2 linked regions of the Medicago truncatula genome follow. The protein of the gene in region 2 interacts with the protein of the main gene of each other region in a pairwise test. Links are inferred from orthologs where the notes say so. Each region holds a gene or a part of one and is shown on either strand. Other genes may lie near its edges.

Evidence for each region. The genes of interacting proteins can lie anywhere in the genome.
Region 1: the proteins of protein TIFY 8 (region 2) and protein GIGANTEA interact in binary tests that used the Arabidopsis thaliana proteins (3 or more experiments, as listed by UniProt). The link is inferred for Medicago truncatula from reciprocal best matches to the Arabidopsis thaliana genes TIFY8 and GI.

The regions. Positions count from the first base shown.
Region 1 is NC_053042.1:47,807,782-47,815,273, forward strand, and holds the start of protein GIGANTEA, read left to right. Parts: upstream 1-4,487; 5' UTR 4,488-4,686; intron 4,687-5,209; 5' UTR 5,210-5,310; coding exon 5,311-5,412; intron 5,413-6,680; coding exon of another isoform or gene 6,681-6,682; coding exon 6,683-6,754; intron 6,755-6,872; coding exon 6,873-6,927; exon of another isoform or gene 6,928-6,947; intron 6,948-7,037; coding exon 7,038-7,180; intron 7,181-7,383; coding exon 7,384-7,492. UniProt on the Arabidopsis thaliana protein: Involved in regulation of circadian rhythm and photoperiodic flowering. May play a role in maintenance of circadian amplitude and period length. Is involved in phytochrome B signaling. Stabilizes ADO3 and the circadian photoreceptor ADO1/ZTL.
Region 2 is NC_053044.1:53,327,402-53,334,761, reverse strand, and holds the start of protein TIFY 8, read left to right. Parts: upstream 1-4,358; 5' UTR 4,359-4,616; coding exon 4,617-4,824; intron 4,825-5,400; coding exon 5,401-5,588; intron 5,589-5,705; coding exon 5,706-6,148; intron 6,149-6,261; coding exon 6,262-6,352; intron 6,353-7,360. Other genes in the region: histone acetyltransferase HAC12, read right to left, coding at 1-676, 842-1,121, 1,258-1,330, 1,436-1,638. UniProt on the Arabidopsis thaliana protein: Repressor of jasmonate responses.

The DNA.
Region 1 (7,492 bases), on a different chromosome or scaffold from region 2:
CCAAATAACCAGATTAATTTTTATGATTGTCAAACATACATCTTAGAATGGCTTAGTTAGTAAACGTAGTATAATTCAAATGGTTTGTTCAAATATGCACTGATCTTAAGGTTCACAATTGCATGAGACTAGGAGAATCTGTATTAAATTAATTGGAACATTCACAAGGGTGGGAATATATTATGATTGCATTTAGAACCTTAGACTATACATTGAAAATGATTTGGAAACATTTTAAAATCATCGATGAGTTCCTCTAAAAAAAAATCATCAATGAATTTTGTTTCATAAAAGATCATGATTCGATTCATACATCGTCTAATGTTGAAAATCAAAATACATATAAAGTTGATCATATATATATATATATATATTTGCATAATCTTTATATCTCTTTTACTTTCTATTTTCTCCAACTTAGATGCATTTTAAAAGTACAAATAAAATCAAATGAATCATATTTAACATCAAAATTTTAGTTTTAAAGTATCATGTCTTTTTATATATTTTAGTCTTAAGCATGCCTTGTGTGAATAAAGAAGAAAACCGCTACTAGAAAACCATTTCCATTTTCCCCTACTTCTTCTGTTGAAAAAGTTTGACTTAACTAATACAAAATTATGTTATTTTATATGTTAAATAAATTAAAGCTGCTTTAAAGAAAGAAGAATCAACCCGTCAAGTAGAGCACTAATTAGTGGTGGTATCTTTCAATCAATCAACACTGACTAACGTGTTTAATTTTAAACTATAAATTGCACTAGCCATTACTAAATCAATATGTTTCTCCACTTTGAACAAATTTTATTGAATGCTTGAATGTTCTTGTCTTGTGATATTTAATTTTTGAAAAAAAAAAAGGCAAGAGTGGCCAATAAAACTTAAGTCAACTAAAAAGCAAGAACCTATTAGCATTTGCTAAATATGGTAATAGCAAGACAAACTATGTTTACCATACATGACCAGTCAGCCCTTAATGGTGGCTTAGTGCCCTCCGAAAGGATGATCATGAAAGGTTTGCTGAACATTAATGGGTTCCTATACAACATTGTAAATTAGTTTAGGTTGACCTTTTGAAATGTTGGGATAGTGGGATTCACCTATATCACTTTCATGTGGAGTAAACACGTTTAAGATTAAGGAGTTATGATATTTTTTTGGTTTGTTTTACACTATGATTTATTGGGAGAATGTGTCATGTTTATTTGGAGTTCAACCAACTCCTAAGTAAAATCTGAAAAAAAAAATATTTTAATTAAAATTTGAACATAAAATTTTCCACTGAATCACTTGGTTATTACAAGTGATAATTGTGTTGTGACACTATCACGGCGATATTAGGGTTGTTTATCTCGAAGAAAAAAAAAAGATGGTTAAGGTTGTTCATGGAAAAGATGGTTAGAGTTGATTAAATTGTCAACTACATCTTTTGTGGGTGATATGTAAGTAATATTTTACGGGCCTTGAGATCTATCCTGATTAAATTATGCATTCATTTCATTATTCCTCTCTTATATATTGTCCTTTTGTGATTAAGCCTCTTATAGATAGTCTTATTCCACATAATAAAAATACCAATGAGTACTGAAATAAAAAAACAAATATACCAATAGACTTTTTTTCTTACAAGAAAATTCGGTTGAAAGTCCTCTCTAAGAAATCGTTCAGTTTGAAAATATAAATGTCTATTTAAACAAGTCTTATAAATTTTCTAAAACTTAAAAGAATATTCTTATATTTGAGGACAAAAATATCTAAGAACCTTTGAATGAAATGATTCAGGTTTAACCAGAGATTGCATGTTCAAGAAATGCAACACCACTAAAACTCTTGAGAAGAGCTCTGTTGTCTTTTTTTAAGGGAGATTTGTTGTCTTTTATAAGTTTATTGAAATTGAGATTGATTTTTGGAGTTACTTGTACAAGACACTACTGATTAGAAAAAGGAAAAAAAAAGACCCAGACACAAATATCTAGCACACAGTTTTTTAATTTTTTTGAAGAAATCTAGCACACAGTTGACACCACTACACACCGAGGCAAAGCCAACCCACTAACGCCAAGAACTTTATATTTTATTGGCTGCTGTCTCGCTCCAATTATTTCAACTTTTTGAACAACACCCAATATTAAAAGGGAAATGCTCACAAGTTGTTTAAAAATATTAGGGTTAATTGCAATTTTAGTCCTCCTATTTTTATTATTTTATAGAATAAGTCCTCCTATTTTAAAATTTGACAGTTTTGGTCCATCCATTATATTTTTGAACTATAAAAATATGATCTGATAAATTTTAAATATCGTGGAATATGATCTGAAGATGAAAAAAGATCAACATCCATAAATTGCAACAAAATTCCCTTAAAAACTTTATTTAAAACATATCATATCACAATATTTTAGACAAAAAAATTGATACAGGATCAAAATTGTCCAATTTTAAAATAGTGGGACCAATTTCGCAAAACAATAAAAAGAGGGGACCAAAACTGCAATTAAAGTGCCAAGAGCAAGTTCAAAATTTGCACAGTTTTTTTTTACAAAAAAAGATACACAAATTTTCACTATGTTTAATTGCAATTTATATTTGAAAAGGTAATCAGACGACAGGTTAGAAAAGGCTTACACGGGACAATAACACTGAAAAGAAACTACAAGGTCTTCTTGAATGAGGCTTATGCTTGAGTGCAGACAGTGGGAGTGTTTGTTGGTTTTGCTTGTGGTGTGCAAGAGAACTAGCTTTGTTGTAGGTTCCAATGGATATTGTAGATAGTATTATATTTTGATGGAAATGAATGGCATTAATGGTGAAACAAGAGGGAGATTGAAATTTGGTTGTGGCAAGAACAAAGTATTTGAACATGAATAGGGTATTGTGTAATGTCCAGATGGGCGCCATTTAGTGTGCAACCTTAAGGTGATGCCAATTGTAAATGCAAATTCCTTCAAAAAAAAAAAAAAATTGTAAATGCAAATTGGATTACGGCTAACACAAAATTTCCCACTTCATTCTCTAAAAAAAAATCTTCCCACTTCATGACTTATATATATTTTCCTAGTATCACATAGTCTCTACTAAAGCTCCACTCGAGCCTCAAGCTTGTGTTAAACAAAAACAACAAGTTGCCAATCTACATAGGCTCAACACTTTCTTTGAAAATGTGGAGCGACTCGTCATTGCATGGAGAGATCTTGTAAAAAAAAAAAAGTACCAAGCCTATATTTGGTAAATTAGTATCACAATGGAAATGTCAGAATAACGGGAACCCACCGTGATTTTTCAAAAACTACATAATGTAGCTTCTACAAAATTATGATGGATCACCGTGATTCTGACATACTCTCTTTGATATCAAACTTACGCCAAATGAGACAATGAGTTCAACGGTTCAATGATCTTGATCCCTAAACAAATAAAAATTCATGAAGAATGATTGAAGACGAATAAGAAAGAAAGAACGCAACGATCGACAACAGTTTCATTTTTAAATTGGGAGAAGTAACATGAATTAGGGCATAATTTATTTTATTGTTATTTTAATTTAATATTATATTTGAATAATAAAAATATTTTTAAAATAAAAGTTAATGAATAAATAAAATTATTAATGATATGGAAATTCAATGCGACCAGACAACTGGTGCCTCATCATTAATGAATAAGGCACATCAGCAAAATTGATTCCAAAATGAGATGGAGGAGAGAAATTTTAAAAAAGATACATTTAAGTAAAAAAATTAAAATAACGACTTTAAACATCAATCATCCCCAATACACATAGAGTATAAGGAAGGTAACATAACATTCTTTTAAAGGAAGGTAACATAACAAATATATATATATATATATATATATATATATATATATATATATATATATATATATATATATATTTATTTTTTTCCTATCAATTTTTAATATTTTTTAAAATGTAAAAACACCATGTAATATAAATATTATTTAAATTTGTGCAAAAAAATAAATATATATTATTTAAATGTATAATCATATCATACCATAATTATAATAAAGTAAATTTATTTGCTGATATGATAATATATTTTTTTTTCCTTCAAAAAATGATAATATATTAAATTGTAAAAAAATGATAATATTGTTTTTTTGGTGGTGGCCGGGATTTAAACCCCGAACCTTGCATATCAATTGAACTAAGCACACGTGGCAAATGATAATATCGTTTATGTAAATTTGCAAACGTTAAATATTTATCTGAATTTCAATTCTATGTAGTAGATATAAATTCAATAAGAAGTAATATAAATATGAAAGTCTGATAGTAAAATATAGTGATGTTACTTAATATGGTTGGGACAGGGCATGCATGCATGCATGAATGATACATACATAGATATAGCACATGAGATGGCGTGGATGTCTGAGAGGAGAGGAAAATATCGCATCCACGTATGCAGTCGATCTAGGCTTCTCATTACAAGGCTGTTAAAGATCTTCTCTCTCCACTTGTTGTATTCTTCTTCTATTCTATCTATCTATCTAACATCTTCATTTCCAAACTATAAACTTACCACAACCCTCTTTCTATCATTTCTTTCCTCCTTTTGATCATTACACAATACTCTCCATTCTCACACTTACATCTTCTCATCCTATCAATTCAGAAAATTTCCAATTAGCTCTACACACAGCTCAGCTAAGCTAACCCAGGTACATATTTTTCTTTCTATTTTTTTTAACACAATTAAACCATCAGTTTTCAGGTTATGTGCTAATTTCTTATTTCAGTTTCATCAAATTTTTTACTTTAATTTCTTCAAAAAATTTCTATTATGAATCTGACTTGTTAGATATATATTTATTTTCTTAATTCTTTTTTTATTTATAAGCCTTTAAATATTTAGCTTACATATTTACTTTTTTATATTCTGTAAATTTCATTTTGCTCTGTTTACCAGGACTCTGTTTCAGATTCATCCCTATCTTCATCATTTCAATTTTTTAAATTAACATTTTTCACAGTGAAAATAAATTTAGAAATCAATAACAATTTTGTTTTAAAGTTTGCAGATTCAATCTCAACATAGCAACCTAGTAGTTATTGTAGTGAAATAGCTACAATTTTCTATGAGATGCATTTGTTTGTCTTATTCTGTCAAATGAAAAAAATTTGAATTATTATTTTTTGGTGGATGATGATGAATTGGATACTAAGATGAGTTTGGTAACACAGGATTTAATACTTGATTGGTATCATGTTTTGGATGGATTTGGGATAAAATTGCTTTTCATATATAATCAGAAGCTAAAGGATTCAAGAGTTGAAAGTTTTTGATGACTTCTTCTTCTATGGCTGCTACAAGTGAAAGGTGGATTGACCGTCTTCAATTTTCTTCATTATTCTGGCCTCCCCCACAAGATGTTCAGCAAAAAAAGGTATCATTTTAATCTCTTACCATGTTTTAGGAAAGTTATTTTCTTTACTTTTTTCATGTATATGTATTTTTTTATTAAATTTTTATGAGTTTTAATATAAAGTTTGCCTTAAGGACATGATGGGATGGAAGGATCCTAATTATTATTATTTTGTTGAGTTTGAAGATTAGAAAAAGTTTTAAATATGCATCTAATCATATTTTCACAAAATATCGCTTTGTTATATTACTTCATAAAATATCTTCACAAATATCTAATGATGAGATACGATTGGATGTATGTGTAAACACTAAAACATTTTTATAGTTAGTGTATCGTTTTTAAACTCACTCTATTTTGTTTAATGATCCAATGTTTGATAAAAATCTTTTAGAGTTTATTCCAAAAAAATCTTTTAGAGTACTAGGGAATTGAAAATTTTATATCGGTATTCTTCAAGAGGAGTAGCAGATATGGAGATGTTGTTAAAGAGACATATACATACAACGTCACACAAACATATGTAAATAATACATGATGATGTGATGTGATATTTCAGAATCTATGCATATGCTACAATCAGCAGGTCTTGGCGTTGGATGAAGATCAGACAAATACATATTTTGATTTTATCAAATTGGATTTAAAATACAACACAGGATATGAACTGTCTGATCTTCATTGAACAACTGAGATCTATCGACAGCAGGAATAATTTGTTTTGTAACTTTCTAGTTATGGCAATTGCAAACTTTGAAGTAAAACAAAGTGTCCCAGAAATGGGGTGATATAAGCATTGACTTTGTGGGGCCAATTTGATTACAGTTTTAGCAAACATTTACAAGAAAAGAAAAGTTGAAGTAATCTTACAATCAATTATGAATTTTCTAAATAATAGTTTCTTGCATAAGTTGAAATTAACTTTTGCACCTTAACCTTTTCAAAACACGCTGCATATAACTTCTCCATAAGCAGTCATAAACTTATAAGGACTTTTTTTATAAGTTAAGAGTCAATTACTTATCTCAGCTGATGCTTCCACTAGTTAGAGCTAATTCTGACTGAGCCGCAGTGTTTTGTCAATGTGGTTTCACACAAGTTTCCCGCGTATTGACAATCTTTTCTAAATGTATCTTGCTAGGTAGAAAGCAGCAGTGTTTTGATCATTTGTTATGCTGAAAATAATTGTTTCTTATTCCATATGAAAGCATTTTATGGCTTCTAGAATATTGGAAGCTCACTGTAACTCCATTTCATTGGTTTATATGATGTTGTTTTCTGCTTTTCCCAGGATCAAATTGCTGCATATGTTGAGTACTTGATTCAGTTTACATCAGAACAGTTTGCTGACGATATTGCTGAGGTACACTTCTATTTACTTATTAAAATTGTGATTCTTATTTTTTGTGGTGTTGTTTTTGACATGAGAGATCCAAGAGTTTTTATTGAATGTCACTCACTGTTCTGTATTACTTTGACAGTTGATCCGCAACCGTTACCCGTCGAAGGAAATTATTCTCTTTGATGACGTTTTGGGTATTTATGCTTAATCCCATGTTAGTTTAAATCATGCTTGAGTCGACAAGAATATCACTCTTTCTACTTTATGTGTGCTAACTTCTCTATGTATTTACTTGTACATCCAGCAACATTTGTCCTTCATCATCCAGAGCATGGGCATGCAGTTGTACTTCCTATTATTTCGTGTATTATCGATGGTACACTAGTCTATGATAAGACTAGTCCTCCATTTGCTTCTTTGATATCTTTAGTCTGCCCAAAAGATGAGGTATAAATATAATCCTTGCCCGGTATTCTTATTTACTTTGTATATAATTCAATTTCATATCAATAAATCCTTTGTTTGTGAAATATAATATTTTTGCTTTCTGTTTCTCTGTTTATTAACCAATTACTTATAGCACTTATTCAGTTTCAGTATTAACAAAGAGACTCTCTATCATTTAATTCCTTCTTTTCATGGTTTTGCAGAATGAATATTCAGAACAATGGGCTCTTGCATGTGGTGAAATTTTGCGTATTTTAACTCATTACAATCGCCCCATTTACAAAACGGAAAGGCAATCCAGTGAAACAGAAA
Region 2 (7,360 bases):
TTTGACTCAATGATTTCTTTTTTATCGTTTATCCCATCCTGGATGAATCCAGTTCTGCCTTGAATGTCCTCTTCACCCACATGAACAATAATAAGTTCTTTTTTAGCATTTACCCCCTCCTGGATGAATCCAGTTCTGCCTTGTATGTCCTCTTCATCGTCATCAATATCTTTAAGCTCCTTCCTGAGAGTAGGCCTACTGTTGATTTCCATTGAGTTTCTGCTGTATATCATGCCAGACTCTAAGCCTTTTGAGGGAATCATTCCAGACTCGATAGTCTCTAACTGTTGCTGCACTTCTGAAAGTGTTTCAAAAGAACAAGATTGAGCCATCTCGTAAGTCGATTGATCAGAACTTGCATCATTAACCCAAGAGACGTCAAAAGCAAACTCTGTCATTTTCTGTCTTTTCGTAGGTTGTAACATGGCATGAGTGAAACTGTTCTGAAAATCCAACTCCTGGGATTTATTTCGCCTTGTATCTTCCAGTTCTAAGCACGAACTCGTGCCAGGAGAAAGATTGGATTGTTCCGAAATATCCGCTGAAACAAGTTTAGGGAATGTCGAATGTAAATCTTCAAATTGAATGGACTTTCCCATTGAAGTAGGAAAACTCGTAGACTCGTTATTTTGGATAAACCCCAAACAATCTCTCTGTTTTGACAGATTCATCTCCACTGCAAAAGTAGCAAATTAAATGGGTAAAGCAATGCATTTGTTAAAAACAAAAATAATTCTAGCAAAGAAAGAAGCACAAAGTCAGTAATATGCAAAGATGAAATCAATATTGCACGAATAAGGATTAAAAATTGGGGAGAAATCACAATCTAATTTAAACATACCATTATTTGCGTGTTTCAGAGGAAAATAGTTGCTACTTGATCTGGTGTTAGCATCCAGATTGCTTCCACCATACAAAACGGGTAAGTTAGGAAGCACACACATATCAGCAAGTAGGGGGGTTGGCGAACCATCATCAGGAACGCAAGGCAGGCCATGAACAATAAAAGGGTCAGATAGTCTCCCTTCTGGAACGTCATAATAACCAGCGGCATCAGACTTGGAAAGACCCACTAGAGCTTGCATACGCTGATTCAACGTCTCTAGGTTCATATATTCCTCCTGCCAAATTCGTAGAAAAACAACTGTGCTTAATTGACAGAATACAGGTATAGTTTGCATTTTATACTATTATATGCAAATGTTGTTAGCAAAAAAAAGCACTTTATGTTCAGACACAACATTTCAAGAAACAAACCTTTGAAGCAGCAGTGGTAAGTAGCAATAATTCCAGCATAGGGGCAAATTGCTCATTCTGAATGATTTCAAAACTGAATAAAATTTATAGTTAGCATAGTCTCAATTCAATTGCAATCTTAAGTTGAAGCAAACTGAAGCAACCACGTTTCTATGAAAATTAAATCACTTTCACTTACATTCTTTTTCTTATCCAGTGACGGTTGTATGCCATTTCAGGATGATAACGCCAGTCTGTGGAGAATCCTGCTGGATTACTTACATGTTGACTGCATAATTTATCAAAACATCTCTTTTGCGGAGTGTTTGAGACAACTGATGAAGAATTTCTTGGCAATTCTCTCCAAATATTCCCACCAAGTTCAGAACCCTTCGCAAGCATCTTTTCAGCTTATCAGAAACAATTCACATTCTGAAGCCACAAAAAATAATACACAAATATCAGTTAGAGAAAATTCCAACAATGTTCTTGACGCACCATAAAGAGGGAAAACATGATTATCATAACTTTAAACAAGCTCACAGTTAAATTTGTCAAAATTTATCAAGAATTCGTTTATTAAGAACCCACATTTATTTGTTAATTCATTCAGGTTGAGAATGTGAATTAAATCGATTAATGAAAACGGAAATTAAGAACAAGATTGAAGTTATTATGATCAAATGATAACAATACCGACATTGAAAAACGATGAATTGATTAAGGAGTGCGCTAAAAAGAAAAGGCCCAATTACAATGAATGAAATTAGGGTTAGGGTTAGGGTTTAAGAATTGGGGATAACACTGTAGAACACAAAGATAACGTTAGAGAGAGAGAGAGAGAGAGAGAGAGAGAGAGAGAACAACCTGTATCGCTGAAGCTGTTGTTGTTGTGGTCCCTCCCTTGTGTCTCTTTCTTTATTCCTCTTCTTAACTTCTTACACGAAGGAGTATTTATATTCTTAGTTTAGGGTAATCTCTTGTTTAATTTAACATGAAAACAACAAGATAATTACGAGATTAATGTGATCCTCCTCATTTGTAATACTATGTCGGTTTCGAAATGAATGTCGTTTTAGGAAATGCAATAGTCTTGTCTATAGATTTGACATTTTTACTAAAATAGTCTTATTGACTATTGGTGCATTTCCCATCATTATAAATTAAAGTAAAATGTGGTACTTTGGAAATAGTGTGTGCGTAGTAATAATTAAGGGGTATTATTGAGAAAAAGTAATTAATAGTACATTGAAAACTAAAAGCGACATTCATTTTAAAACATCTTTTTAGCTAAAATTAGACTCAGTTTGAAATGGATGGATTATTAGTCTAAGATATGGTAGTGGTTTTTGTTTGTTGACAACTTTTAAAATAATGGTTGTTCTTAACTTTAACTTCTGAACAGTATTTATTTTTTGTTTTATTTAAGTTTTACATAATTTTTTTTTTTTGGAAATGTTAAAAGGAATTTAGGGCACTAGTTTTTTTTAGGGAATTTAGGACACTGGTTAAAAGGATAAAAACATAAATATTGCATTGAGAGATTGTGAAAAATGATGGATTTTATGTTTTAAAAGTTAAAATATCGTTGAATCAAATGTAAGTCTCCTACTTTTTGTTTATTTTACAAATGTCATAAGGATAGTTATTTACATAATCATTTTTTTTTATTATAAAAGATTGAGATAAATCTTCAGTATATAACATAGGGAAATGATGAAGGGTGTGATAGAGAGTATCTTAGACACACGATGTTTTGATCTATTAAAAAATAAGTATTTTTCATAATAGACATAACAATACTTACACAACATAAGATATAACAACACACGGTAAACTTTTAATATATCAAACAATTTTTTATTTTATATGATGTTTGATAAACAAAAGATTATTTTTGTCTTTTAAAACTTGTACTTAAAAAAAGTGTTATGGTGTAGTGATGAATACAAATTTCCGTTAGTCGGACCTCTAGTTTACTATATCTCTAGAACAATTTTAAAATTAAACACAATATAATTAAAGTTGTTTTAGCATCAAACGAGAAACTAAAGTGTTTAGCATGAAATAGTTAGCGAGTTCTCAATAGAAAGAATCGTTTGAAAAAACTTGAGTTTATTTTTTAGGTTTAATTGCGCTTTTGGCCCTCTATCTTTTCAAAAGTTACGATTTTAGCCCCCTAACTAATTAAAATACAAAACAGCCCCCTATGTATTGGATCTTTGGCAGTTTTGACCCCCAAAATATATGCCTCGCTTGGTGGACAAGGCCATATTTATCGATGCGGTGGTTGAAGAAAAATGTTGTAACTGTTTCTATTGAGTTATATGGGTGGTAGCAACGACCTTTAAATTGTTTGAGCGTTGATAAGATATTTTTACTTTACTTCCTCTTACCGGTGAATTGTTGCGTTTGAACTTTGTTGCTCTTCCTTAATCTTTTATCCTTTAATATAAATTGAGGAATGATATTTTGACAACCAATTTCCAACAACTTTTAGTGACAATTTTTTCCTCTCTTTTCATTGGACAATAACAATAGAGAGAGAAAAATGAAGAGAGAGAATAAAAGTACAATAAGAGTATGAGAGAGAGTTGTCACAAAAGTTGTTAAAAAATGGATGTTAAAATATCATTTCTCATATAAATTTCATCTTGCCTTGTTCAAAAAAAAAATGTCGTCCACACTTAAAAAAAAATCATTTTTTTAACACGTTGAAGCTTTGATGACTAAACTAGACAATATCTACGAAGGACTAGCACCCTATATCATTGTGTAATGTTCGGTATAGTTTAAATCAAGTAATCTTCTTCTCATACTCAAAGATTGTTGTTAATGATGCGTTTAATCAAGAGTTTTTGATTGCATTTATATTTTCTTCTCATATGAAGTTTTCTAAAAAAAAAAAAAAAAAAAAAAGCTAGTGTGATGATTCCAACTTCAATGAAATTTAAATGAAGGGTTAATGGGGTAAAACACCATTAACCCTTAAATGAAGTAGTCATTTACTATAGTGCAAAAAAAGTAGCACAGTACAAACTAAATTATTTTTTAAGCTGATATTTTACAAGGAGGGGTCTGAAAGTAAAAAAGTAAGAAGAAAAACTGACAAAAGGTCCCGAATTGAATTGATTACAGCTCAACTGAAACAAACGTTAGAGACACGAAGAGAGTGTGAGAATGATACAAGAGAAGTTTTGTACAAAAAAGACAAACATGCATCCATTAAAATCAACCAACAACAGAAAACTCCACAACTACATTTTCTAACAACACAAAGAAAGAACCTTTTGCTTTTTCACCGAAAACGATTGATTCATTCCTCTCTCTCTCTCTCTAGCGTACTTCACAGCTATGCAGCAGAGTGAGATGGGTAATCAATGGCGGTTCTGAGAATGGTTCACTCACACTCACAGTCTCAAAACAACAACAACAACAACATCAGTGGGACCCAACACTTCCTCCATGATTTTCTCGGCATGAAGCCAACTGATACTTCCATCGACGTTAGGTTACCGGAGGCATCAGCATCTGCCTCCTCCGCCGGTGCTCGTGGCCCTTTCTCCTCCACCTCCGAAACCGCTTCTGGTAAGTACTATTAAACAACTAAACTTTTCATTTTTAGCCACATTTCCCCCTTGTTTCATTTTTTTTACCGAGTTTATTCTCATCCACTAAACTTCTTTACTTTCCATTTTTTTCTCTTTTGGTGGGGTATCAATTTATTCCCTCATTTTTTTTTTGTGTCTTTGGATTTGGGTTGTTTCAAGTTAGTTGGAGTTGATTGTTTTCCCCTTCGTATGCAAATTTATGGTCATGATTTTCTGGACTTTATTTTGCTTTAGAGTATGGTGTATGATTTGATTATTTGTTTCCATGAAATAATTTAGACTCAGAGAATTGAATTTAATCATTTTATACTGAAAATACTATTATTTTGAACTGAAAACTTTGTTATGTCATGTGAATGTTTGTGCATTGGGAAGTACAATGATATGAATTTTTAGGTTTTATCAAAATTTTTGCTTTTGTGTTGGTCTGATTTTTCTTTTTTTGGTTTCTTATTCTGGAAAGAGTTATAATTGTAAACACACATTGTTTATAGTAAGTTTCTATGTTATCTTTAAAAGGAATGTAATGTTTTTTCCCTCATCAATTTGGTAGAAAAGCAGGTATCGAATCATCTTGAGGGAGTTCCATTCTATGGCCCAAGAAGTGATTTTTCTGGCACTGAGATAAGTAACAGACTAGTGGGGAATAAAAGAAGTAATTCTGATTCCTCATTTATGGGTTCCTCCAGAGATGCCTTTCAAATGGTCCCTGATTCCTTTCAAAACTCACATTTGATGAAGGTTACTTTAAAATATCACTTAATTCTTTTCCTCTAATATATTCAATAGCCAAAAAAAAAAAAACACTTTTGCTTTTATATTATTTTCTTTGATGTCTTAAGTCCTGTCTTCGTACAGGTCCTCCGAAATGCATCTGGGGGAGAGAGATCCAGAAGGCCTAATGATGACGAAGTGTTACTTGGTATGCAGTCAATGAAGCCATCTTCTAGTTCTCAGATATTTCATGCTCCCGCCAACACGAAGATCGATGCGAATAAATGGGAACGGTCTATTCTCATGAATGCTGGCCCTTCCATGCAGCATCCTCCGCGTGGAGGACAGTTGACTCCTTTTGCACACCAACTAGCTTCAAACAAGCTTAGGGATACCATTGTCGGCCCTTCATTTATCTCTCAGCCTGCCGCTGATGAAGGATCTAGAACTGGAATCAAAGGCCCTGGAATTTTAAGTTCCATAAACACAGCTTCTACTGCTACTGATAAAATCTCATCTGTAGTGCTGCTCGGTGGAAGCAGACCAAAACCTCTAACTAACATAATTGAATCATCCACGCCCCCAAGGTAAATTTATCTTATATATACAGTTGCTCAATTCACCTTGTTTCTATTTATTTTCACTCCCTTTACCTTGGAAAAAGAAGTTGATTGACTTTATGCATTTTGGCATTGAGCAGTAGTCAACATGGGCTAACAGCTGCCAGCCGCCAGATGACTATCTTTTATGGAGGTCAAGCTCATGTTTTTGATGATGTCCACAAACATAAGGTCTGACCTCGTATTCTTAACGTGTCATATCTGTTAACTGCATTTAGTGAAATAAGGCCTGAAATTAGTTTGGATTTGTGAATCATCATGGGTAACAAATTGTGCCTTAAAAAACTCGCTCTGCGGTTCATTCGTGGTTGATTTAAAGATCATTCAATCTACTTACAGTTAAATTTAAACTCATCAGGTTTCAGCTGAAATATGGTATTGATAGTCGGAGTTAATTTCCGTACAACACTTATGTTGCTGTTTCTACAGCCTATTTTGGTAGTCATTGCACAATATGGTGGATGTGCTGAACCTATAATATTTAGGGTTAATAGGTCTTTACCCCCTGTAATATAGGTCATTTCCGGTTTTCCCCCTGTAAAGTTTTTATTTTGATTCACCCCCTTGTAAAATATTTTTGTTTTGATTTACCCCCCTAATAGGCCAAACAAAAACGAAAATTTCTTGAAAAAAAAAATAAAATTTGTTTTTGTTTAGCCTATTAGGGGGTAAATCAAAACAAAAATATTTTACAGGGGGGTGAATCAAAATAAAACTTTTACAGGGGTGAAAACCAGAAATGACCTATATTACAGGGGGGGTAAAGACCTATTAACCCTAATATTTAATAGAAAAAGATTTCATAGCAACCAATCATACATTTGCTTAAGCTTTGGGTACACCGGTGGAGTCACTTTTGAAAACAGTCTTTTTCTCTTACTGGTTTAGTTAGACATTACTAGTATATAAAGTCAGCTTAGGGAGTGTTCTTTATAAGGAATGTATTTGGATGATAGTTTCTATGGATTTAGTTAAGACATTACTAGTATATAAAGTCAGCTTAGGGAGTGTTCTTCATCTTATTCTTTCTAGGATTTTTTTCTTGATCTTTTCAATATGTTTCCCCGCTGAAATTTGGAAGTTTTCAAAATTCTCTAAAAAAATGTTTGGCTTTCCAAACACATTGCTGATGCTAAGTTAAAGTTAAATTCACTTGTGTATGTGTGTTAGTAAGTAGCA